Linked DNA regions of Xenopus tropicalis. The protein of the gene in region 1 interacts with the protein of each later gene in a biochemical or structural test. Links are inferred from orthologs where the notes say so. Each region holds a gene or a part of one and is shown in the gene's direction. Other genes may lie near its edges.

Region 1 (4,239 bases):
ATTTTCGGCGATTTGCCGAAATCACCTGCGCAGCGTGTCATCCCACCGGCGACTTACATTTTCACCAGTGGGATGGTAGTTCGGGGCAATTAGTCGCCCGTGACAGGGGAGATTTGTTGCGGGCGACTAATCTCCCCGTGTGCCAGAGCCCTAAAGGTGGTCCTGTGTGTTTATGTGCTAAAAGGGAGTTTCCTTGTTATTCAGCAGCAACCACTAAGTGGCAGTGTGCTGCAATATAAAAGGGCATGCAGACATGTTCTGTTAGGTCTTAGTCCTGGGACTGCCTCTGTTAGGAGGTGTACAACAGGATAGTGTTCTAGTACAGGAGGTACTGTAATAGGTCACTCTAAGAGTGACAGGCAGGCTAGAGAGAATGGGCAGAGATAGCCCCAAAAGGAGAGAGAAGGGTTAAGACCCCCCAGCATTCATGGCTGGAGTCCAGGTCCTGTAGTGTTTAGTAAGAGGAGCCAAGTCAGCACCTGGGAGTGTTCCCAGTGAAGGGGCCCTACGCGTGGACCGGGGTGAGTTCCTAGGTGGGATCACCTGGTGGGAGTACCGGGGGTAGCCAAAAGAGAGAGTGTGTGACTTGAGCCATCTGTGTGACATCCTCTGAAGTGTTCTGCCTGCATCAACAATAAAGCAAGTTCATCTGGTTCATCATTTTAACCAGTGTCTTGGCTGTTCATATACTGAGGATCCTCAACTGTCTGGTAAGCAGCTACCCCAAGGGAGGGGCAAGGTACCGGGAGTTGCTGGGAATCCTGGTCCAAGGAGGACATCATAGAGTTTTCCCAGGGAGGAGATATATAGTTCTACCTATACCTACCCTGGGTGAAGGCACGCCATTTATTTAGATCATACCTCTCCCCCATAGATAAGCGGGGGCTCAGGGCTCCTGTAGCGCCACACGCAGGTGATTTGCGTGTTAAAAGTACCATAGTAGCCAAAATAGGGTTACAAGTATATTAGCTATCTTTATATGAGAGAATGAGGCATGACCAATGTTTCTTCTCTAAATCTCTAATTATTGCTTTAGAACCCTGCAGCCTGAGGAATCTAGGGAAAGTCAAGCACTTATTCATATTGCATACAAAATAATCATTTGATTGGTAAGTCAAGTAATTATCTAAATGTGTGGAAACTATTGCCCAGGGTTGAGGGCAAGATATTCTTTGATCTATGCCTGAATGACTGATCCACCAATATTTTCCTATTTCTGTCTCAGGAATCAGGGGGGCCTGAACAAAAAGTTTGACAACCACTGCTCTACCGGCTAATAAAGCTTTGCTAATGGCCCAAATCAGCACAGACATATAAGAAATAATCCCCCTTAGTAAAAAAAAACAAAACACTGGAGTAGATCACACAAAACAAATAAAATGTAATTCTTATTTAACTGCACTTTACTAAGACACTCAGCAAGTCCATGCCCCGCCCATTCCTGACATCACACTTAGTGGGCATGCACTTTTTGAATCGATCGCTCCGCTAGGATTTCGGCGCTTTGCTGTTGGGGACGTCCCGTCCGTGCGTGCGTATCCATCCGCTGTTTGCGCGATAGTTCGGTACAGCAGGCAGGCAGGCCGCGGGAGCCAGCAGAACAATAGAGTCTCTCGGAAGAGGCGGGAAAGTCTTCTCTTGCGCAGGCTCCTCACAAAGGGAAAGAAAAACACCCCCAACATGTCGGTAGCTGCAACGCGTGACAAGCGGAGTGTCCTGAGCACCGACAATGGCAACGGAGGCAGCGGGGAGCCCGACGGGCAGGAGCTACTGGAGAGCTGCGGGGTGTGCAAGAAGCAGTTACGGGCGGACACGGAGCCCCAGCTCTTACCGTGCCTGCACTCCGTGTGCCGGGCCTGCCTTCCGCCAGAGACCCCTGCGCCTGAGGTGGCCACTAACAGCGGAGACTTGGCTTCAGGTATGAAAGAAAGAGGCGGGAGGCCTGCAGCTCTCCTGCTCTGAATGTGCGGCTCATGTTGCCGCCCACCTTCCGTGTGGTGTCAGTGTGGGAAGGGGACCCGGGTTCTAAGCCTCAGTTTCCGGCCCACCATGCTCAATATCTGAACAAAGAGCTGCCTTGGTGCCCAGGGGAATGCCAGGCCATGCACGGTGCCAGCTTACTGTGTGCACCCTGTCTGCTCCCGGCATGGCACCCTGTCTGCTCCCGGCATGGCACCCTGTCTGCTCCCGGCATGGCACCCTGTCTGCTCCCGGCATGGCACCCTGTCTGCTCTCAACATGGCACCCTGTCTGCTCCCAACATGGCACCCTGTCTGCTCCCAACATGGCACCCTGTCTGCTCCCAACATGGCACCCTGTCTGCTCCCAACATGGCACCCTGTCTGTTCCCGGCATGGCGCCCTGTCTGCTCCCGGCATGGCGCCCTGTCTGCTCCCGGCATGGCGCCCTGAGTGCTCCCGGCATGGCGCCCTGAGTGCTCCCGGCATGGCGCCCTGAGTGCTCCCGGCATGGCGCCCTGTCTGCTCCCGGCATGGCGCCCTGTCTGCTCCCGGCATGGCGCCCTGTCTGCTCCCGGCATGGCGCCCTGTCTGCTCCCGGCATGGCGCCCTGTCTGCTCCCGGCATGGCGCCCTGTCTGCTCCCGGCATGGCGCCCTGTCTGCTCCCGGCATGGCGCCCTGTCTGCTCCCGGCATGGCGCCCTGTCTGCTCCCGGCATGGCGCCCTGTCTGCTCCCGGCATGGCGCCCTGTCTGCTCCCGGCATGGCGCCCTGTCTGCTCCCGGCATGGCGCCCTGTCTGCTCCCGGCATGAGAGGAAACTTCGGCAAATCGCGGTGCCGCATATGCCACCCCACTGGCGATTAACATTCTAGCCGGTGGGATGTCGCAGGCGACCAATCTCCCCATGTGTCACAGCCCTTAGGGCTCTGGCACACGGGGAGATTAGTCGCCCGCGACAAAACTCCTTGTTCGCGGGCAACTAATCCCCCCGAGTTGCCTTCCCCTGCCATCCCACCAACGAAAATGTAAGTCACTGGTGGGATGGCACACGCGGCAGCGCGATTTTGCGCAAATCGACGAAGTTGCCTCGCGAGGGTTTTTCGGCGATTTGTGTGAAAACGCGCCACCGCATGTGGGCAGGGGAAGGCAACTCGGGGAGATTAGTCGCCCACGAACAGGGAGTTTTGTCGCGGGCGACTAATCTCCCTGTGTGCCAGAGCCCTTAGGGTGAACACACAGCTGCTAGCTACTACACACAGAGCTACTAGTAGCAGCTACTTGTCGTGGCTACTGAAATAGACAATGCTGATAATTTACTGATAATCGTCTTTACGTGTGTTTAAGGGCAGTGACAGATGGAGAGATTAGTCCTTGAGAGGAAACTTTGGGTGACTTCGGCAAATCATAGCGACTCGTATGCCATCCCACCAGCGATTTACGTTCTAGTCAGTGGGATGGCATTGCTGGAAGATTAGTCGCACGAAGATTTGTCGCAAGCGACTAATGTCCCAGTTTGCCACTGCCCTTAGTAAAGGCAATTCTCATTTTTTTCTATGGCAGGGGTTTTTTTGAAGTTTAGTAGCTGTGACAAGTAGCTGCTACTAGTAGCTCAGTGTGTCTTCACCCTTAGGGCAGTGACCGACGGGGAGATTAGTCGCCCCGTGTCAAATCTTCGTTGTCGCAGGCAACTAATCTCCCCCGCAATGCCATCCCACTGGCTAGAATATAAATCACCGGTGGGATGGCATACGAGTCACTGAGATGTCCTGAAGTTGTCATGACAGGAAACTTCATGCGACTTTGGGACATTGCAGTGACACGTATGCCATCCCACCGGCGATTTACATTCTAGCCTGTGGGATGGCACTGTGGGAGATAAGTCTCCCCGACTTGCCATCCCGTGCATACGTGTTGCTTTGGTTTAACGAAAGGGTTTCCTTGCTAGGAAACTTTGGGCAATTTAATAACCACAGTTGATTCTTTAAACTACAATTACATTTACAAATAACATTAAAACCATCGTTAAAAAATGTGTAATATATATTTCTAGTTATTTAGATTTTTTTTTTTTCCAGTTTGCAAAAAAAAGTTTTTTGGGTTTTAATACTCCTCGTTGTGTAGCAGTCACAAGAGGCTTGATCATATATGGGTGAGACGCAGCATGCAAGAAGTCCATAGACCATTGCAATTCTGACAGAAATGTCAAACTGTCTTTTTCCTGATTTTAAGTTAAAGGGTGACTTGCAGAAAATATCCCTCAGTTTTTGCTAAACTTTCAT
Region 2 (4,183 bases), about 65 Mb from region 1:
ACAGGGGAGGAGGAGGCATATGGAATTTAAGGGTATATCTTAATATGACATAATTCTTTCACATATGAATGATGGTTGATATCCCCACAGTAAGCACCAAGCATTTGGGATTTTGCTGTGCTACCACCATTGTGATAAAATGTGTGTGGTTTGAAGTGGGTGTGGTTTCAAAAAGGGGAGTGGTCAAAACTGGCTTCCATTAGCGGCCCTCCACCACGTATGCTAGAGAAATTCCGGCCCTCGGCACTGCAGCACTGCTCTATAGCCATTCTAGTTGTTCATATTCTGTTTTAGGGCTCTGGCACACGGGGGAGATTAGTCGCCCGCGATAAAACTCCCTGTTCGCGGGCGACTAATCTCCCCGAGTTGCCTACCCCTGCCATCCCACTCGCGAGTCTTTTTCGGCGATTCCCTGAAATTGCCCCGCTGCGTCTGCCATCCCACCGGCGACTTACATGTTCGCCGGTGGGATGGCAGGGGTAGGCAACTCGGGGAGATTAGTCGCCCGCGAACAGGGAGTTTTATCGCGGGCGACTAATCTCCCCCGTGTGCCAGAGCCCTTAGGGTGAAGACACACAGAGCTACTAGTAGCAGCTACTTGTAGTGGCTACTAAATTAGACAATGCTGATCATTTACTGATAACCGTCTCTATGTGTTTTTTTTGGCAATTCTCAGTATTGTCTATGGCAGGGGATTCTCTGGAGTTTAGTAACCTTGAAAAAGTAGCTGCTACTAGTAGCTCCATGTGTCTTTCCCCTTAGGGCAGGGACACATGGTGAGATTAGTGACAAATCTCCCTTGTCGCGGGCGACTAATCTCCCCGCAATGCCATCCCACTGGCTACAATTTAAATCGCTGGTGGGGTGGCATACAATGCGCAGCAATTTGCCAAAGTCGCCCCAAGTTTCCTCTTAAGGCAATTTCGGCAAATTACATCCACAAATGTGTTATGCACAGAGCTTCTAAAAATGATGCTTAAGCCAAATATTATTAACCTACACTGATTAATGACGCCAAAATGGTTTCAGCATCTCCCCAGTTCTTTTCCCCCTAGACATGAGACAACTTCAAGAGAAAGTTTTTACACGGACTATAAAAAATGCCCCTCTCCTTTGGCTTTTGTATCTGCTAACAGGCTTTGCGGGCTTGACAATCACCACACCAACACACCCCTGAAAATGACACTTTATTGCCGATTTCGCTTTCCAACACCCTCTCCGTTCGTTGTGGCGGTGCCAGCGCATCCCCAGGTACCATGCGAGTGGCTAGTTTGTTATTGTACACGTCACACGGCCGGGGAACCAATAGGAAACGGTGTATCACGTGGTTCGCTGCGCTCCATCGTACAGCTGATGGGCGACTCCTTCTCTGGCAGTGGGAAGATGGCGGACTCAGATCGTGTAGGTTTTCCCATTGCCGGCGCTGTGTTAGCTGTCTCAAAAGAAAATGGCGAGCCCCTTTCCAAAAGGCAGCGCTTGGAAGATACCGGCGGGGGTGGGAGCCAGCTTGTGGGGGCTGAAAGCGAGGGAAAAGCGGCATTGCCGCCTATAGCTGCTTCTCTCCAGGAGGAAGGCGAGGCCTCTTCGGCAATGGAAAGCAAATCCAGAGCGCACAATGGCTCGGGCTTTCAGGGCCTTCCTTTGGGAACGTATTTGGTACAAGGCCAGGAGGAGGGCGGAGCCGAGGAGATGCCCAATGGAGACCTGTCGGATCAGGCTGTTGATTACGGAGGTTGGTTCCCTTTAACTCTTTCCCTACTAACAGCGGCATTGGGCGGGGCATATTCTGTAGGTGTTTGGAGGTTCTTCAGTGCAGTAATGTGGGCGATTCAGCGCATCAGTGGGTATAGAGTGCTACTCCTCTCTCCCTTCCATTTGCTAATACTGACCCATACAAATGAAGGTGCTTTTGCCAAGTTTGAACATATATTCCATTTAAAAACATTAGCAATGGTATATGTGAGTGAGTTATTATTAACATTTATTTATAAAGCGCCAACATATTCCGCAGCGCTGTACAACAAGTGGGTTTCATACATTGGACATACAGAGTAACATATAAAGCAATCAATAACTGATACAACAGGTGAAGAGAGCCCTGCCCAAGAAAGCTTAAAAGTTATGCTTACACCCTATAGTTGGGCCGCTGCTCCTTTGTAGAAAAAAATGCACCAGCCCAGGGTAAAATCTTCACTTACCTTCTCTTTGGAATCCCTACAGCAGGCAAGTCAAAGAGCTTTACTCAACTACACATGTACAAACCCAGGCTGTGAATGGCTTGGATGTGGCTAAAATGTAGGCACATCACTACTTTTCTTCCCTTCAGGGCATTTTTCCCAAAAGGGAGGCTATTGCCTTCTCTTGGCCTTAACTATCTACACATAGGCTGTATAGAGCTCATTAACTGTCCTTGTACTGGTAGGATAAAGAAACTTAAGGGTCCTTCCTGAAGGAAATTTCAGCCTCCCCAAAACAGCTCCTTAACTGGCCTCTTTTAGCCCCACAAAGTTACATTTAAAAGTGTCCATGTGTGTGAACCTGCCATTAAATGCAGAGTAACGGGAGTCACAGTCATCACTTTTTGTATCCTCACTTTGCTGACACAGAGCCTGAGGGACATGCATAGTTAAAGCTGATCCCAGAGTAGCTCCAACTGCTCAGGTTCTGAAGAAGTGCAAGGAGGTTCTGTGAAGTGCAAGGATGCATCTAATACAGGATTCGGCCATTTTCAGCAAGATTCTGAAGATTGCATAAGCAAATTAGGATTCGGTTCCGTATTCGGCCGAATCTTTTGCAAAGGATTCAGGGTTTGGCCGGATCCTAAAAATTGTGGATTTGTTGCATGAAGAGGATCTGAAGAAACAGAAGATGGCACCTATGATCTCCTCTACGGTACTCTGCATTTTTATGGAGGTTTCACAACAGTGCAGGTCGACCTAAAACCTGCATAACCCAGGGGTTGCAATTTGTGGGTGGTGAGCCAAGTTCACTGCCACTCCCTGATCTGTCTCTGTGCTTTTCCAGCCTCCATACTACTGGGGCAGCACTTTAGCTGGCCATACACAGGTATTTCAGCTTCCGATTCGGGTCCTTCAGGCCTACACGACTGACAGTCTTAAATTGTCCAGATCTCGATGGGACAGGTGTGGTTTTCTGATTGGGGATGCATTGTCTGACAGCACCTATGACCAGCGGGTGAAGATCTGCTCATTTTGTGATCTTTTTTAGCATAATTGTCCATGTGGAATGGGAGCAGGGAGTTGGCTAATGGAGGCTAGTTGAGGGTGCTAGGGTTTGGGGGAATGAGTTCCCATTATCAGCACTGCACACAGGGCAGTTCCCATTGTTTTTTGCTCACAATGAGTAACAACTCAGGAGGTGTGGACGAAACATTTAAAATTTCCACTAGTGATGTGTAAATCAACTGTCCTCTGGTCAGGTGAGTTTGGGTTGCTGGTTCTGGTGGGTCCAGGTGCTGGTATTGTTATACCTACCATCATCTTTTTCTGTGAGCCTCCACCTTGGTGACGTCACTAACAGATTGAGTTCCAGGAAAAAGTGTATTTTGTGACCCCACTCATCACTCATTTACACCCTTTCACTGAGAGTGATTATTAAATTGTTACAAAATGTGTTATCTTTGCCACAAAGACAAAAATGTACTTGTGTATTGGATAGAAAACGTTGTTCTTGGTGCAGTCTTTGTTTCAGAAAATGCCTTGTTTTAAACCCCTTGGCTGAATTCTTTTACAGCGGGTATCCATCTGGATGATGATCTTGCTGGTGGCTTTCATTCTTGTGACAGTGAAGATGATGATGGTGCATCTCATGCCAGCTCAAGTGATTGGGCACCCAGGCCCTGTATAGGTAAAGATGCCTATTTTTGTTATAGGCCTAGTTGTGCCTAGTAGAAAGAAATAACCATGCTAGCAAAATCTTTAGTTTATAACAGAATTATCCTTACTATATTAGAAAAAATTAGTTTGAGTTTGATAAATTTATAGCATTCTCCTCTTACAGCCTTACCAATGGACATTAGACAATAAATACACAAATTTTTTTTATGTTGGACACTTGTGGTGACCTCCACTGAGACCTTTCTTATTAGGGCTTCATAAATTAACTGGTACAGAATCCCTGCTACAAAACATTCTGCTGATAGCTTTCTGACCATCTTGTGGTC
Region 3 (3,709 bases), on another chromosome or scaffold:
GATGCCTCTATGATGGGTGTATGGAGGGCTCCCTGCACAGGGGTACCCAGTATTACACATGTGACTGGGGGAACCTGAGCAATTCAGAGGCCAATTGGTCTGACCCATAGTAGTGTATCTTCAGCAGAACCAATTACTGAACCCTGTAATTACCACTAAGGCTGCAGGGGTTATAGATAAGGGGCTTTAGCCTGGCACTTATAGAGTTAAATTTGCCCACTGCCAGGAGCTGCCACAGAGAAAATCATACGTTCGACAGTAAAAATATGTTTCATGTTTTTTTTTAGTACAATTGTCATATTTGTAGCAACTTTTCTGTTGGTCTTCATTTTTAGCAGTGTTTGAATTATTTGCCTCTTTCCAGCTTTCCAATGGGGGGGGTCACTGACCCCAGCAGCCAAAAAGCTATTGTCGGCAAAGGTCAGCAAGGCTGCTGCCTTGTGTTTTTTTTATTGCTTCAAAAGTCAGAACCCCCAAAGCAGGGAATAGAAAAGGACAAATGCAACTTCTAATAGCAATTATATATACAAATAAGCTGCTTAGAATTATGTTTTCTTTTATTGGGCAAAAATTATATTTTGGCTTGACTTGCCTTTTAAATAAAACACCCTAAATAGATAAAGATAGTTCAACCGGTGATTGAGGCTGGGATTGAGCTGAGAGTTGTATTTCAGTGACGGCTGGAGGGCTTCATCTTGGACATGGGCGATACAGGTCCTTTACTAGGGCCACTATATTCTCTTTAGTGCCGGCCGTGCCCATTAGATATTACCCTGCAGCTTGGCGTGCCCGGCCCCTTCCCAATGCGGAAGAAACTTGGTTGCAGTTGCAAAGCAACATTGCGCAGTTTGGATGAAGGGTCTTATTGTGGGGGGGAGAGAATTCTGTGAATCCCTGTGCTGTTTGCAGCGACGATAACACCTGGGAGCCGGAGGAGAACTTGGACTGTCCCGATCTCATCGCAGAGTTCCTGCAGTCGCAAAAATCCGCGTACGAGTCGGAGAAAACAGAGGCAGGCAAGCGCAAGGCTGACTCCGACACCGAGGTCGGCGAGGAGAGCAAACCCAAGAAGAAGAAGGATGAAGTGAGTCAAATGGCTTTTCAGTTGCTTTTAAAGGGAAAATGCCCCCTGCAATGACAGGAGCTCACACTTCTGTAGAAATAAAGACAAACTAAATATCGAGAAATACATATACATACATACTGTCCTTTTTACACAGGTAAACCTAATTCCACAGATTGGGAGGAAGCCATGATAGTCTGACTCGTAAGATCCGTCCTTCCCACCCCTTTAGGCTGACAGTCATTTAAATCCCTTTTCCATGTTGAAGTGATGGATTCTGGGACTTCAGGAAAGCAGAGCGACTTGAAGTCCTAGACTACCTTATTTTTCCCAGCAGACTGTGATATGCACAGGCCTCTGGACATGGAAGGGTCTAGTACAAATCAATTAGTTACCTTGTGAGCACCCCAAAGAACAGAAGTTTTCCCACGTGTCGGCTGAGTTGTAAACCATCAGCTCACTCGGTATTTGGGGCCAGTGATGTGGCACCACCACAAGTAGCCACGTAACATAACCTCCTTCTCATTCCAGGTGGAGAAACCACGTGGTTTTGCACGCGGATTGGAACCGGAGAGAATCATTGGTGCCACAGACTCCAGCGGAGAGCTGATGTTCCTAATGAAATGGTGAGATCCTTGGGGGGGGGGGGTCCCTTTCTACACCTCTCCTAGGTCATTTGCAACTTTAAAGGGGATGTTCACTTTCAGACAATAGTCTGAAGCTAAAACTCTCTCTGCTCTCTTTTTGGAAGGGATCACGGACACCAACTTGTGTTCTGGCCACAGAGCATGCCTTCCCTCTCCTGCTTCATTTGCATTAAATTGATCGGATTGGCTGAATTTTGCCAGCCAATGGTTTCAAAGATATGCAAATAAAGCAGCAGAGGGAAGGCGTGCTCTGTAACCAGTTCAGTGTCAACTTCCTGTTTAGCCAGAATGGTGTTGGAGATCCCTTCCAAAGAGAGAGTTTTAGCAGCAACGATCGGTAGCTTCAAAACAACTTCAGACTATTGTGTGAAGGTGAACATCCCCTTTAAAACCACTGGAAATGTGTATTGCATTTGAAGTTTGGGTTTACTTACCTTTACATCAGTCATGTAGCAGATATGACTGGCTCCAGTGTGTATCTGCTTCTGGGAACCCTGCATGACCCTAAACATAATCCTGTGCATGCTCATTGGGGTGTGCTCCTTATTTGGGGGGATACAGTGCTAAGCAGCAATGGGTACATCCCCCTCCCCCACAGGAAAAACTCAGACGAAGCCGACCTCGTCCCGGCCAAGGAAGCCAACGTTAAGTGCCCCCAGGTGGTGATCTCGTTCTACGAGGAGCGGCTGACGTGGCATTCTTACCCTTCCGAGGAAGATGACAAGAAAGACGAGAAAAACTAAGTGCCCCCCAACAATTCACCAACGATCCACAGTTAGCGGGTGAGATGTATACGCCAGTCACTCACGCCAGAGTGAGGAAGGGGGAGAGCCGTGGAGGATTCAGTCTGTCCTGAATATTTGGTATGTATTATCGGCAGAAATCCGGGGACACGTGGACAGGAGGAACCTAGCACAGGGGACACTGCATCCTACAAGCTTCTCCTCCTCCTCCTCCTTCCCGATAGTGTTACAAACTCTGCATTTTTACTGAGTAGCATGTCCATTTAGTGATGTCTGTGGGTGAGACGGTGAGGCCACGGCGGGAGGGGGGACAAAGCGCTTCGATATCATTGTCACCCTGGAAAGAAGAAAGACAGTCCAACAGGTAGCTGCAGATCCTTCTGCCTAGGAACTCGCCACGTGGGGCTCTTTGGGGACCCTGTATAAGAACGGTTATGGGAATCTCATTGCTGGGTGGGGGGCGGGTGTCCTGGCAGGCAGGAAGCTGAAACAGGTGCTGATCCCATTTTCTAACACTTCCCCAGAATTCCTTCAAGCTGAGGCCCCGGGGTCTCTGCCATCACGCTGTGACTACATACAGATTCATTGTATAAACTGTCAGATTTGTAGTTTTTTTCCTTTTTTTTTTTTCCAGGTTTTTTTTTTGTTTTTTTTAAAAAAGCATGTGTTTTAGGTTTGTGCAAACTTCGTTTTAATGTAAAGTAATTCTTAGCATTTTGTCAGTCTGTCGTCCTAATAAAACTTTTAGATTTATAATTCATTGTCGCTCTGTTTGCTGTGCCCAGAGCCTGCTTGCAAGGAACCCCCCCCCCCCGGCCAGGACTTGCCCTGAGAGGGGCAAATCTATTTAGTGAGTCTCTGCCAGGCAGATAGAGAATCATCACTGTGAATCTGGTATTGCCAGAGATGAAAATGTAACTTGTTTTGAGGGTTAGTTCACCTTTAAGATAAGTTTTAGTATGTTATAGCATGGCCAGTTCTTAGCAACTTTTCAATAGGTCTTCATTTTATTTTTATAGTTATTGAATTATTTGCCTTCCCTTCTGTTTCCAGCCTTTACATGGGGGTTAACCCTTTCCGATCCTAAAGGCATAAGGCTGCAGGCTGAGTTATACAGGGAACTCTGAGTATCACTCACGTATTATAAGGGATAATGTACCCCCTACTGTAAATGATAAGGATATTAGCAGTCACTGAGGGGTTCTGTGACCATATAAAGGCACAAGGCTGCAGGCTGAGTTATACAGGGAACTCTG
Region 4 (4,005 bases), on another chromosome or scaffold:
GCTGCATCTACCTCGGGCTGGTGCTGTTCTCTCCGAACAGTGGCACCAGTCAGGGATAAAAGGTAGGCGATTTAAGTAACTTGGGGGTGCCCAACATTTTGGCACCCCCAAGTGACTTTGCCTTTCCTTCTCCTTTAAGTTACCAGGAGTGACTTTTGCTGCCCCTGGTAACTTGCCAGGCTCTGCCGTCTGAGGCGATAGGTGCAGGGGCACAGTTACTGTGAAGCGAGTTTAAAAACTCGCCTCAGGCAGCAGCACCCCCGAAGTTACCAGGGGAGGCAAATAGCCGCTCCTGACAACTTTAGGAGCCAAATTTCTGGTTTTTAAAAGGGAAATTTTGCTGCACTATAGCAGAGATTGCCATGGCACTCTCTACACTAGCGATGTGGCATGCCTGGACCCCCTCCCGTGCTGTAAAGGCATGGTAGGAACCTCCTCAGGTGGCTCAGGGGCAAGAAACACCCCTGGATAGGTGCAGTGCACTTGCATCTAGAGAATAGGTTCCTGACACTCTCATATTAAATGGACAGAATTTTTTTTAGCGCAATTGCATCTAATTTACAGCAAAGTTTGCCTGAAATTGCACTTGGCAGACTGCCCTGCACTTGTAAGCATAAATATTTTCTGTGTAGGTGATGTGACTGCTCAGCTGCCAGTGTATACCTAGAACGTCCAGATGATGAAACGCATACACTGGACAGACAGGGGAGTGCCTTCGTAAAATACACGAAAATGGCGGCCTAGTGAAGTGAAATATGTGTCAATGCCACATATTTCAAGCATTTTTTTTTTTTTTTTATTATTTGCAAACAAAACGACATGTATCAGTCAGACACCTACACGAGGAGCGACAGAGGCGGGCGGAGCCTGGGACCTACCTTTCAACACGTGACTCACTACTATTAAATATATAATTCGGGTTTTCTTTTATCATTAAGACCCTGACTTCATGGGCTCTTCAACTACACCCGTGTAGATTGTACCGGAATTGACATTAACTGCCCTCAAGGCAGGCTGTCCTATTTTGTCAGGGTGCCGCTTCCCTTAGACCCATGGTATTGAAAGAGTTACTGTTCGCGCCAGTAAATTCCCCGCCAGTGTGTTGGTAGGGCCCATTGTTCTGCGCGTCACTCGGGCCCTCCCACTCCTGCGCACATCGGAGCTGCAGGCAGCCGCGGCTTGGAGAGCGTTTCTCGGTGTGAGGGGGACGGAGCAGGAGTCACCGGGTGCTGGTTATCCAAAGAGAGTGAGGTACGGGGATGAGAGAGAGGAATGTTGTACCCGGGGGCATGAGGAGGGAGAGGAGCAGCATGGGAGAAGCACGGCCCGGCAGGGTTGGGGAGGCGGGAAAATTGCTGCTAGTTTGGGAGAGAAGCGGAGGCCTGCTGCAGAGTAGCAGCACAGACCAATGGGTGGGAGGCATTGTGTAAGGGCGGGGAGGCCGTTCTGCAAACATACTGCCTTGTCTTCAATTGCTGCTCACCGCTACCTGGGCTTGTTGGGAGCTGTAGTTCAACGGCAGAAAAAGTCACAACTTTCTATTTCACGTATATATCTTGCCGAATGAAGAGCGGCCCCCTAGCACTTATATGACGCTAGCAGTGTTAGTGGTATTCCGCCAGTATTCCCATGCCCGGTGCAGCGCACAGTAACTCTCACATAGTGCTAGGATGGATACCCCCTGAGTTTCTCTGTATCACTGGGTTTCTTTACAATGAAGCTAATGCTGTTCGGTACGGGGGGTGCGCAGGCGCGAAGGTTCGTGGCCTCTAGGTGGTTAGTAGGGAAAGTAAAGGGTATACAGGGCAATGGCTACCCGGGCTGGACAATCATAGGGAAAGCTCGGTGCCGCTGGTTATAATGGTTTCCAACTGTGCCATGCAGTTTCCCCTGCGACAGTCTAATCTCTAGTTTCCGTGAATGTGTGTTCCTCATCTCCCTCCGGAATACATTCGGTTAATCAATCATGTTGCGGCTCATTCACATGTACGCATGCGTGTTGGAGGGGGTGGGGGATGCTTTTGCTTTCCGGCTTGGGAGGTGAAGCGGCGTAAAACTTTATCTGGATGCACGTTGCGCAGAGCTGCTTTCACGCTAATGTTGTATGGGGGGGCGGGGGGGTTATGGAGTCTCGCACGGCAGTCACAGCAGAAAATTCCTGCCTTTGTTTCTGGTATGGCAGAATTTCGCCTCACGGCAGACCGCTTTCTCATTTCAAGGGACAGTGTATCCCGTGTTTATAGGATTGGCTTAGTGATAAGGGCGTGTGCTGAAAGGAGACTTATCATAACAAATTAAGAATGTACTAGTGAATTATACTTTAAATATAGAAGGATTGTGCTTTAAAATAGTTGTTTCAGACTGATTTATTGAAACATTATACACAGACCCCTCTAGTCCCGCCCATCTGTTCCACTTCCTGCAGGCTGAAATCTCTGGATGTGCAGGGGAACCACTGGCTCTTGGCACACTGCACTGTAGGATAGGAACCTACGCTAGGCGGACCCAATAGGGAACTGAAGTATGTCTTTGCTTGTGAATTCAACTGTTAGGATACTCCCGCCCTTCATTTGAAGCACAGAAGACTGATAGGATCTACATGGAGCTCCAGTAAAGGAGACCTTTTTACAGATAGGATTAATTTTTAGCCCGAAGTGACACCAGCACCATATAGTATTCATAAGTGCCTACAAAATTAGGGGTTTTTCCACTTATCCAATGTCTCATTGAACTTCATTTTTCCCTGTGTTAATTATTTATATTGTTTTATTCTTCTTTGCACTAAACAGGCCAGAATCTTCAGGTAGTCACTTAGAGGTGTTTAGATTAGTCCTTTTTCTGGAGCAATGAATTGCCTTTTGAGTGCTGAACCTGTTCTAATAATCAAATGAAAAACCAGTCTCTTAAGGTTTGGGATAATACCCCATAGTTTCCAGTGAAATTAAATCTCAAGAAAACCTAATTGACAGAGGTTAGGTTTTTATTTTTATCTCTGGAATAAAAATGTGCCAGCCTAGAGCTCTTTAAGTAGCAGTGATACCACAATACTGCACTTTTCCCTGGAATTCCTAGTGTAAACAGACTAGCACAAGCACGGTATACTACCATTGGAAAATTTTTATTAAACTGGACATGTGCAAGTTTGTGCTAGGAATCCTTGGGTAAAGTCTGGCACTTTTTGTGAGAATAGTTGGCCAAAGAAATAATTTTCTAACTTATTGGCACCCTTGTGCTTTAACATTATAACTTACTACATAGCAGGGAGCTAGCACCTAATTGTAAGCATAATACAGTTTGTGTTGGGATAATTTTGATAAGGCTGTGAAAAAGTGGTGCATATTGTCTTTGGAATGGTGCTCACAGTATTAGGGGCTGTTCCTTTACAGAAGAGGAGTGTTTCTATTAGGTTAGGTAGGATCAAGCATAGCAGCTATCAGTGGGCAGTGCTGGCACGGTGTGTACTGTGCTAAGAACTTGTACTGTATGTAATCAGGGAGCAGGAGGCTGGAAATTCTCTCATGTGACCAACAGTCTGAAGTGCCATTTTACACTAATGTTAACAGGAAAGTTTGAAATGGAGAGTACTAATTGCATATACAATTATTGGTTTATATTGATAACTACTGTATTAATAATGCATGTCTTGTAACATATGTTTCTGATATCTAAATGTCTCTTAAAGGGGTAGTGCACCCCAGTGAATAGGGCTTGTGCCAAATGCACTTCTATCTTATTTAAGAAAAACATTCTTGTGATTTCTTGTAGTAAACTGGCACAATCTAAAACAAAGTTGCATTCTACTTCCTGGCTGTATAATTAAGGTCAAAACAGATCTGCGTTCTACTGCTGTTCCTTATCTCTGTCTTACAGGCTGCAGCTGGGCAAGGAATCTTAGTGGGCAACTGATTTGTTTTGACCTTGATTGTAGGGACGGGAACTTTGAATGAAAGGGAACCCAAATGAAAATATCTGCTTTTGTTTTGTGCAAGAAATCTCAATTGTACC
Region 5 (4,001 bases), on another chromosome or scaffold:
CAACCCATTCACCAAAATGGTGAATCACCAGTTTCCCCTCCCCCACCGCGATACCATAAGGGTCATTTTTTTCTATAGGAACAGGTTTCATTTAAGTTGAATGTGTAGAAGCCATAAATAGCGAGAATAATAAGTATATTGTTAGCCTGAACATCGAAGCTGAAAACACGCGTTTTTACAAATCCGGGAATAAGTTTGCCTTTCTGTTACCAATTTGTACGGTATCCGAGAGAGAGGTATTCTTTTATTTATTGCTAGAGAATATCTAATATGTATTAAGGAGAGGCCTAATCATGTGTGGCGTTAGAGAAAAGGCGCCTTCCAGCTACGGGCCACAGCGCCGCCATTAAGCGAGTAGAAAATAGGCGGTACCATAGCGCCTCGCAGGGTGGAGCGCACAAAATGGAGTCAGACAAAGGAACTCTACGCAAAGCTTCCAGCTCGGCGTCTAAAGAAAATCCCCAGCCAGGGCCTACATGTTATTCACATAATTTAGTCGTTATCTAATATAGCCTGACCTACCGTAGCACTCTCATATATACAGCATACAAAAAAAAACCTGGCCCAAAAAGGCGCCAACACTCCTACTGATACTTATGCCCATAACTAGAAGGCGTAAAACTAAACGACTATGATAAAAAGAACCGAATGCATTATGCACTGGCGCTAGGCCTTACCTCGGACTTGTGCATGGTGACTCTCCCCGATGTTAACTCAACAACAGCAGAAACAAAAGAGAAGCGACAGGAAGGAAGAGTGGGGGATTATAGCGCAATGGCAATGTATATTTAGTGCGCCAGAATACGCCCACTTGCCTCCTAATTGGTCGCTGTCTGCGTAGGCATCGTCGATTGGGCAACTAGCGTGACGTTTAACTTCAGCGATTGGTTAAGACGTTGAGGAGGAGGGGAAAAGAAATCGGGTACGTTTAGTCAGTCCTTTTGTCCGGCCTAAGTGAGGTGCTGGTACGCCCCGTTTTCTCATTGGGCGAGTGATTATCGGTGTGCATATTTTATACAGAGATTTCCGTACTGGCCCGGTGCTCGTTTTATAGAAGTTCGGGCAGATTTGGTTCTAGCCATTGAAATTACATTTTATAGGGCCTCAACCTTTGGTTATGAATTCTGGTGAATGGTTAGGCTGCAGTATGGCACGGACTGGGCATAGTGTGTACCCGAGGAGGGGCATTCCTTTAGGCTGGAGGGCGGTGTTGCGCATGCGTCTAGTGGGTTGTTTTTGGCGGGGTTTGGTCGCTGGCTGCGCACAGTACCGCTCGGTAAGAGCCTTCACTCAATTCCTGCTAGCGAGCAGCTTTCGGTGGGCGCACGGTGTATTTCGCGCAGGAAGGTGAGTACAACTCGCTGCCTCCCACCCCTCCTCGGCCCTTCCCATTCATTGGCTGTGTGAGGTGCTGCTGCTGGCACTGTGCGAATAATGGGGTGCCCCGGCTTCATTGTGGGAGACAGGGACAGTGATGTGGGAGACAAGGGGCGCTGCTGATTGGCGGAAGCTTGGGGGTCATTCGCAAACTTTGGGAGGAACGTGTTGTACCGTTCAGCCGTGTAGCCGGGCAGCGACAGTGCGAGGCTTAACTTAGGTACTTACCTGGGGCTTACAGACAGCGCTGGGCAATACCCATTGCTCTCTCCCCCTGGTATTGTATCCTGGGCTGGTCCTATTGGACTATTATACAATAAAAACCTGTATGGCATGATTCTGTTGTATATTCTCTGTATACAGATATCGGGCATGGCCAACATCCAGCTGTTCAGTTGGGGGAGGTGTAGTACAACAGCTGGATGTTGATGTGAGTCCTCCATTCATTCCATCATCATTGTGTGTCAGCAATCACATATGGAACGTCTGCTCTTCTGCACCCCTCCAGCTGCTGTGAGCTATGTCTGCACATATCAGCCAGCAGGTCAGAATGGTGTAGTTCAGCAGGAACAGTCTGCCAGGGGTTGGGCATCCCTAACCCAAGTAAAACCATGGCCTGTGGCTATGGAAATGGTAATACATGCAACACGCAGTACAGCAGCTTTACACCAGGCACATAACTTACTGGTATCACTTGAAGCAGAAAAGCAGTTTCTATGCAGTTGTCTCCATAGGTTAAGGCTATTTGCAGCAATTCCACACTTTTCTGTTAAATGAAGAGTGCCTATATTCAGAAATTCTGCCCTTGGAGGGGGGCGCATGCAACGCAAATAAGAGCGTTGCAAAATGGCTTCAGACATCACTCAGACCAGCTCTAGGCATTTCTATCAATCTCACCTCCTGTAAATAAAGTAAATACCTTGCTTACATGAGGCTTGAAGGGGGTCTATGGCAGGAGCTTAAAAACTACTATGCTTACAACCAGCTAGGCTGCTACCTAGGGAAAATGAAAAATGTCCCTAGGGAAATGAAAGGGAACGTGTATTTATAATATGACAATACACTTTAAGCAACGGCATTCCTTTAAATAACCTTCACACCTGCATGCCAACACAGCAAGCTTACTAGGTGTAATCACTAATGCTAACCTATAACCATACCATCTGGCAATTCTGTAGATTCTGGCAAATGCCAGAGGGGCTGCAGTAAGGTGTGGTAGACAGTCACTATTTATTGGGCCAGTGGAGGGGATTGGGCCTCCGTGTATGTCAAATACCAGGGCCTATTATGAATCTTAAGGTGTCCATGCACTGGGCAATTTTAGCTGCCAATATTGGTCCTTTAGACTGATTTGGCAGCTTATCTGCCCATGCATGGGCACCAACAACAGGCCCCAACTGACATCTGACTTGAAATCGGGCAGGTTTGATATTTACATTGAATTGGGGACCGTGTCGGCTCGTTTATGCAGTCTCTGAACTGATGGTGCCTATGCCCACCATTCTAATTCAATTGTTTGGCCCTAAGTTGAATTAGCCCAATATCACCCACTCGTAGGGGGCCTATCGAGAGAATATCGGATCTTACGGTGTATGGCCACCTTTAGTCCAGACTCCCAGATAAAGTCTGCTGGAGTATAGGGAGTAGTAGTTGAACAGCAGGAGGTTCACAGGCTGGACATGTGGGCTTAAATGTGCCTTTGTATACTTTATTCTTAGACTGTAGACATCTTATGTATATAAACAGTAAACATGTATAAACAGTGGGCAGATTTCCACATGGGCAGTAACCCATAGCAACCAATCCATGACTGCAGATTGAACAATGAAAAGCAAAAATGTGGTTGCCATAGGTTACTGGCCAGTGTTCATAAAAAAGCCCCTGTACACAGTCTACTTTGGAAGGGCAGGTGACATCTCTGTTTACCACTTGACCACAAAGGGGTTAAGATAACTGAGTGAAATTGCTCTTAACTTTCACTCTTATGTACTGTTTGATGACTTTATTATTTCAGGTTGCTTTTGCAACTTAAGGTGGAACTCCACCCAAACACAACTTAAGCGTTTTAAAGAGTAACTTTGTAATATACATCAATTAAAAAATATGCAGCAATTTCATGATTTTTAATATACAGGTATGGGATCCCTTACCTGGAAACCCATTATCCAGAAAGTTCCGGATTACGGAAAGGCCAACTCCCATAGACTCCATTATATGCAAATAATTCTAATTTGTAATTCTTTTCTCTGTAATTATAAATCAGTACCTTGTACTTGATCCCAATTAAGATATAATTTAATCCTTACTGGAGGCAAAACAAGCCTATTGGGCTGTTAAAGTAGTCGACTGTTCTTAACCTGCAACCTCCAAATCCCACAATCCCCTGCCGACGTGATGTCAGTAAGCAATGGTACATCATAGTGCAGTGCATTGTGGGTTATGTAGTTCTTGCATGCTGTCTGTAAGCTGTTGAGAACTTGTTACTATTTGTAACATCAATGTTTTAGTCCCTCCTCTCCCACCAGGATTTCAAATGATGCAGAAAGGTAACTGTTTTGAAGCTGGATTTCAGCATATAAAAATGGTATTTGTTTATACTTTTTGAAGGAACAGATTACAGTGAT
Region 6 (4,256 bases), on another chromosome or scaffold:
GGCCTCACTTGCCTCAATTAAGGTCAGTGTTCACGACTCCACCATAAGAAAGAGACTGGGCAAAAACGGCCTGCATGGCAGATTCCCAAGGCGCAAACCACTTTTAAGCAAAAAGAACATTATGGCTCGTCTCAATTTTGCTAAAAAACATCTCAATGATTGCCAAGACTTTTGAGAAAATACCTTGTGGAACTTTTTGGAAGGTGCGTGTCCTGTTACATCTGGCGTAAAAGTAACACAGCATTTCAGAAAAAGAACATCATACCAACAGTAAAATATGGTGGTGGTAGTGTGTTGGTCTGGGGTTGTTTTGCTGCTTCAGGACCTGGAAGGCTTGCAGTGATAGATGGAACCATGAATTCTACTGTCTACCAAAAAATCCTGAAGGAGAATGTCCGGCCATCTGTTCGTCAACTCAAGCTGAAGCGATCTTGGGTGCTGCAGCAGGACAATGACCCAAAACACACCAGCAAATCCACCTCTGAATGGCTGAAGAAAAACAAAATGAAGACTTTGGAGTGGCCTAGTCAAAGTCCTGACCTGAATCCTATTGAGATGTTGTGGCATGACCTTAAAAAGGCGGTTCATGCTAGAAAACCCTCAAATAAAGCTGAATTACAACAATTCTGCAAAGATGAGTGGGCCAAAATTCCTCCAGAGCGCTGTAAAAGACTCATTGCAAGTTATCGCAAACGATTGATTGCAGTTATTGCTGCTAAGGGTGGCCCAACCAGTTATTAGGTTCAGGGGGCAATTACTTTTTCACACAGGGCCATGTAGGTTTGGATTTTTTTTCTCCCTAAATAATAAAAACCCTCATTTAAAAACTGCATTTTGTGTTCACTTGTGTTATCTTTGACTAATAGTTAAATGTGTTTGATGATCAGAAACATTTTGTGTGACAAACATGCAAAAGAATAAGAAATCAGGAAGGGGGCAAATAGTTTTTCACACCACTGTATGTGTGTGTATATATATATGTGTGTGTATACATATGTGTGTGTATATATATATATATTCCATGCAACTATAAATAGTAAAACATATATGTATATTAATTCCTATAAAGTACTCCTACAGGTTGCAAACACCACCTGCTCACACTTCCCACAGATATTTACAGTGAGTAGTGAAGGTGTGAGCTGCTGCTGCCGCTGTTTTTACTCAGGGAAACACAAGGTGCAGCATTACTGCAACTCCCATCCCATTCCTTGCAATGCACAGGCCAGTAATTAGCTGGGATATCAGTTTCAGGCTCGGACTTCCCCCTTCTTTTTTTTTTTTTTTTTCTCTCTCCGCACTACTGTACAACAGCCTGATTTCCCCGAAATGATGCCGAGCTGCTAGCCCAGCCCCTACCAATAGCGGCGCAGCAAAACACATGGAGTGGGCGGGCCGAACAAACTAATACCTGGGGTTCCCCGCTATACATAATAAAGTCACTCAGGCTCTCTCAGGGAAACATCTCTCCAGGAATCGCTCGTTTAGGAGATATTTCTAATTCACGTCGCCCCTTTTCTCTCTGGATTACAAATTCCTGCTAGAAAGGTAAACTTCATCGTTTCATTTGCTTCTGCAGAACAAAAAAAGGACCTTTAAATGCACGAAACATGATAGAATCTGATGCTGGAGGCTGGTGATGTTCGGGGTGATGATCGCCTGGCATATTATGTGCAATGCATTGGGATTTGCCTCTGCTCTGGCACTGACGGGTATAGCTAATGATAGAAGATGGGGGTCAGGCTGAGGGTATAGCTAATGATAAAAGATCAGGATTAGGCTGAGGGAATAGCTAATGATAAAAGATCAGGATTAGGCTAAGTTAGATAGTTAGACAGCAGATCAGCAGCCAGTAGATGTTGCTGTGTGTGCAGTGGGCACTTTATCATGCTGTTATGTATTCCTTATTGCTTCTGTATCCAATGAAGGAGGAAGTTGGAATTAAAAAGCAGCAAGGCATAGGAGAATGGAAGACAAGGCTGACCCCTTGGTATAGATAGGGCAAAAAAATACATTTTTAGTATGGAGTGTGGGAAAGTTTGCACTGTATGATGAGACTGCATATAAATGTTTCCTGTGACTCTGTGCTGATCCTTCTGCAACTTGTGACTCTCCAGCTATTGCTGAACTCCTGTCCTGTGATGCTGGCAGAGGCACAGACTGCATATCTCTGCATGCAAACAGGAGTTAAATTCAGTATCTAAAGAGTAAAAATGCAGCTCAGTCTGTGTGTCGTGACTGCTCGTTTCCCAAAGAGGTTCTGCATCAGCTGTGAGCTGTGGGTCACTCTTCCTTGCACTGTAGAAGTGCTGTCTTTAATGTGCATGCGGGGAGGTTTAACTGTTTGTGGTCTGGGTGTTTGTGGTGCAGAAGTTCATTTGTTTCTTTACAGCAAAATGTTATTTTTTTTTTTTTGGTAGCAGCAGAGATCAGGGCGGTCCGTTTTATGCTGGCGGTAAAAACACAGAGGAAAAAAAACACAGCAGCCAGTTAGGTTGCGTTTCAGAGGATGTAAGCCAGTGCTTGGGGGCGTAACTATCCCTGCTATCTTCTTGTGGCTTCAAGCAGCACAACCCAGCTCTGTGAAGCTCCACATGTTGCTTTTGGCAGCAGCTTTCAGCATTGTGTTGTGCAAGATGGCAGTATTCCCACTTATATTCTCAAAGCTTGTAGTTTTGTCTTAGATTCAAAGGGAAACATTTAGGTGGCACTGGCATGTAATACAGTCTTTATATTTCATTGCACTGATTAAGCCAGTAGTAATAGTAGTATAGGAATAGGAGTTGTAATTCCAAATATATATATGAAAAAGTGCAAAAAAATGAAAAGAAATTGGTGTCTTGGCTGGATGAGAACATTATAATAAAATACACATTGGGAGTTTTATTTGCTTTGATGGAAATTTAATTTTATTATGCAGTATTTTATATGTGAGTTTAGCACTCCGTTTGGTTTTGCCAGTTCACAGGCAACTTTTGGCAACTGTTGTAGAACCATATTTCATAGTTGAAAACTTCAAGGAAGAGATCTGTGATGAATAGTAATAAAGTAATTTTACTGGTGTCATCCCAGGGCAGTTTGGAAATAACATACAAAGCATGAAGATTTCAAAAAAAGAATGGAATTCCCCACTGACAGCGAAAAATGACCTTGTGTGTTTTTCTTTTGCAGAAATAATGCCCGTTACACGTTTACGGATGAGGCCATGGCTAGAGGAGCAAATAAACTCCAACAAAATCCCTGGACTTTCATGGATCAACAAGGTAAGGGCATGTATACATGAACTTTCCCTTTAGAGCAGTGGCATACAACACATGTATAAGCCTGGAACTTCTATATTATGTTTGTCAGTTAACGCTGTGATGCGCTTGTTTATAAAAGGATAGCTCCTGTTTTAGTGCTACTGTCACTTTAATGTTAACAACCTTACATCTACATCTTTGTTAGTAAAAACAATTGCAGTTATGGAGTATATTTAGCAAAGAAGAAAAAGAAAATTCTGCAAGGTTTCTCCCTACTAAAATAACTGAAGCATTTAGAGAATTCTGTGGGCGTGGGAAGTGATTTAGGACATTTGGGAAGGATTTTCTGTTTGCTTTGTGATAAATGGCAGATTTAGGGTTAGAGAGATGTAGTTCTGCATAATAAACATTGCAAATATACTTATGGTTAACAACGTTTTCTATCTCTTTTAATCAATCTGCCTTGTGAATAACATTGCCATTATGTAAAATACTGGCCAGATGGCAACCCTGTACGCATGAGAATATATTTTATATAGTGGTTTGGCTATCAAAGCAACTTGTTTATAAACATCAGTGCTCCTTGGAGGAGGATAATAAGCAGATCTTCTCTTCTGCAGGAAGAAATGATATTTGAGATCCCTTGGAAACACGCTGCTAGACATGGATGGGACATCAATAAAGATGCGTGCCTTTTCCGTAGCTGGGCTGTCCATACAGGTACGGCTAAAAGGGTGGGTGGAAGTGCCTGCATATTATAAAGTCTCTAGGGGATGTATAAAGCTAATGTCCTGAAGCACAGTTTAGCTTAGATTCTTAAAGGAACTGGTAATATAACTGCAATATGTAGCCTTTCCTAGCCTGATTCTAGTTGTATTAGTTTAATGCCAAGTTGCTGCCCATGAACCTATGGTTAACAATTACATCATTAACAAGGCAGCCAATATGTCTCTCAGCAGATAATACAAGATGATACTTTTCTCTCATTTGCTTCTATCCCCAATATCCTACATT

The links.
Region 2: of the proteins of trim28 (region 1) and sirt1, one has a biochemical effect on the other in vitro, tested with the Homo sapiens proteins (2 studies listed by BioGRID). The link is inferred for Xenopus tropicalis from reciprocal best matches to the Homo sapiens genes TRIM28 and SIRT1.
Region 3: the proteins of trim28 (region 1) and cbx1 form a complex in vitro, tested with the Homo sapiens proteins (3 studies listed by BioGRID). The link is inferred for Xenopus tropicalis from reciprocal best matches to the Homo sapiens genes TRIM28 and CBX1.
Region 4: the proteins of trim28 (region 1) and cbx3 form a complex in vitro, tested with the Homo sapiens proteins (2 studies listed by BioGRID). The link is inferred for Xenopus tropicalis from reciprocal best matches to the Homo sapiens genes TRIM28 and CBX3.
Region 5: the proteins of trim28 (region 1) and cbx5 form a complex in vitro, tested with the Homo sapiens proteins (6 studies listed by BioGRID, with this or other methods). The link is inferred for Xenopus tropicalis from reciprocal best matches to the Homo sapiens genes TRIM28 and CBX5.
Region 6: the proteins of trim28 (region 1) and irf1 form a complex in vitro, tested with the Homo sapiens proteins (2 studies listed by BioGRID). The link is inferred for Xenopus tropicalis from reciprocal best matches to the Homo sapiens genes TRIM28 and IRF1.

What each region holds. Positions count from the first base shown.
Region 1 is NC_030683.2:102,982,378-102,986,616, forward strand, and holds the start of trim28 (transcription intermediary factor 1-beta), read left to right. Parts: upstream 1-1,439; 5' UTR 1,440-1,680; coding exon 1,681-1,918; intron 1,919-4,239. UniProt on the Homo sapiens protein: Nuclear corepressor for KRAB domain-containing zinc finger proteins (KRAB-ZFPs).
Region 2 is NC_030683.2:38,239,829-38,244,011, forward strand, and holds the start of sirt1 (NAD-dependent protein deacetylase sirtuin-1), read left to right. Parts: upstream 1-1,383; coding exon 1,384-1,732; intron 1,733-3,753; coding exon of another isoform or gene 3,754-3,867; intron 3,868-4,183. UniProt on the Homo sapiens protein: NAD-dependent protein deacetylase that links transcriptional regulation directly to intracellular energetics and participates in the coordination of several separated cellular functions such as cell cycle, response to DNA damage, metabolism, apoptosis and autophagy.
Region 3 is NC_030686.2:11,718,020-11,721,728, reverse strand, and holds the end of cbx1 (chromobox protein homolog 1), read left to right. Parts: intron 1-909; coding exon 910-1,084; intron 1,085-1,594; coding exon 1,595-1,689; intron 1,690-2,308; coding exon 2,309-2,453; 3' UTR 2,454-3,209; downstream 3,210-3,709. UniProt on the Homo sapiens protein: Component of heterochromatin. Recognizes and binds histone H3 tails methylated at 'Lys-9', leading to epigenetic repression. Interaction with lamin B receptor (LBR) can contribute to the association of the heterochromatin with the inner nuclear membrane.
Region 4 is NC_030682.2:41,663,558-41,667,562, forward strand, and holds the start of cbx3 (chromobox protein homolog 3), read left to right. Parts: upstream 1-1,205; 5' UTR 1,206-1,251; intron 1,252-2,099; exon of another isoform or gene 2,100-2,123; coding exon of another isoform or gene 2,124-2,173; intron 2,174-4,005.
Region 5 is NC_030678.2:145,616,582-145,620,582, forward strand, and holds the start of cbx5 (chromobox protein homolog 5), read left to right. Parts: upstream 1-1,201; 5' UTR 1,202-1,347; intron 1,348-4,001. Other genes in the region: hnrnpa1 (heterogeneous nuclear ribonucleoprotein A1), read right to left, coding at 678-692. UniProt on the Homo sapiens protein: Component of heterochromatin that recognizes and binds histone H3 tails methylated at 'Lys-9' (H3K9me), leading to epigenetic repression. In contrast, it is excluded from chromatin when 'Tyr-41' of histone H3 is phosphorylated (H3Y41ph).
Region 6 is NC_030679.2:36,218,882-36,223,137, forward strand, and holds the start of irf1 (interferon regulatory factor 1), read left to right. Parts: upstream 1-1,456; 5' UTR 1,457-1,548; intron 1,549-3,171; 5' UTR 3,172-3,176; coding exon 3,177-3,263; intron 3,264-3,862; coding exon 3,863-3,962; intron 3,963-4,256. UniProt on the Homo sapiens protein: Transcriptional regulator which displays a remarkable functional diversity in the regulation of cellular responses.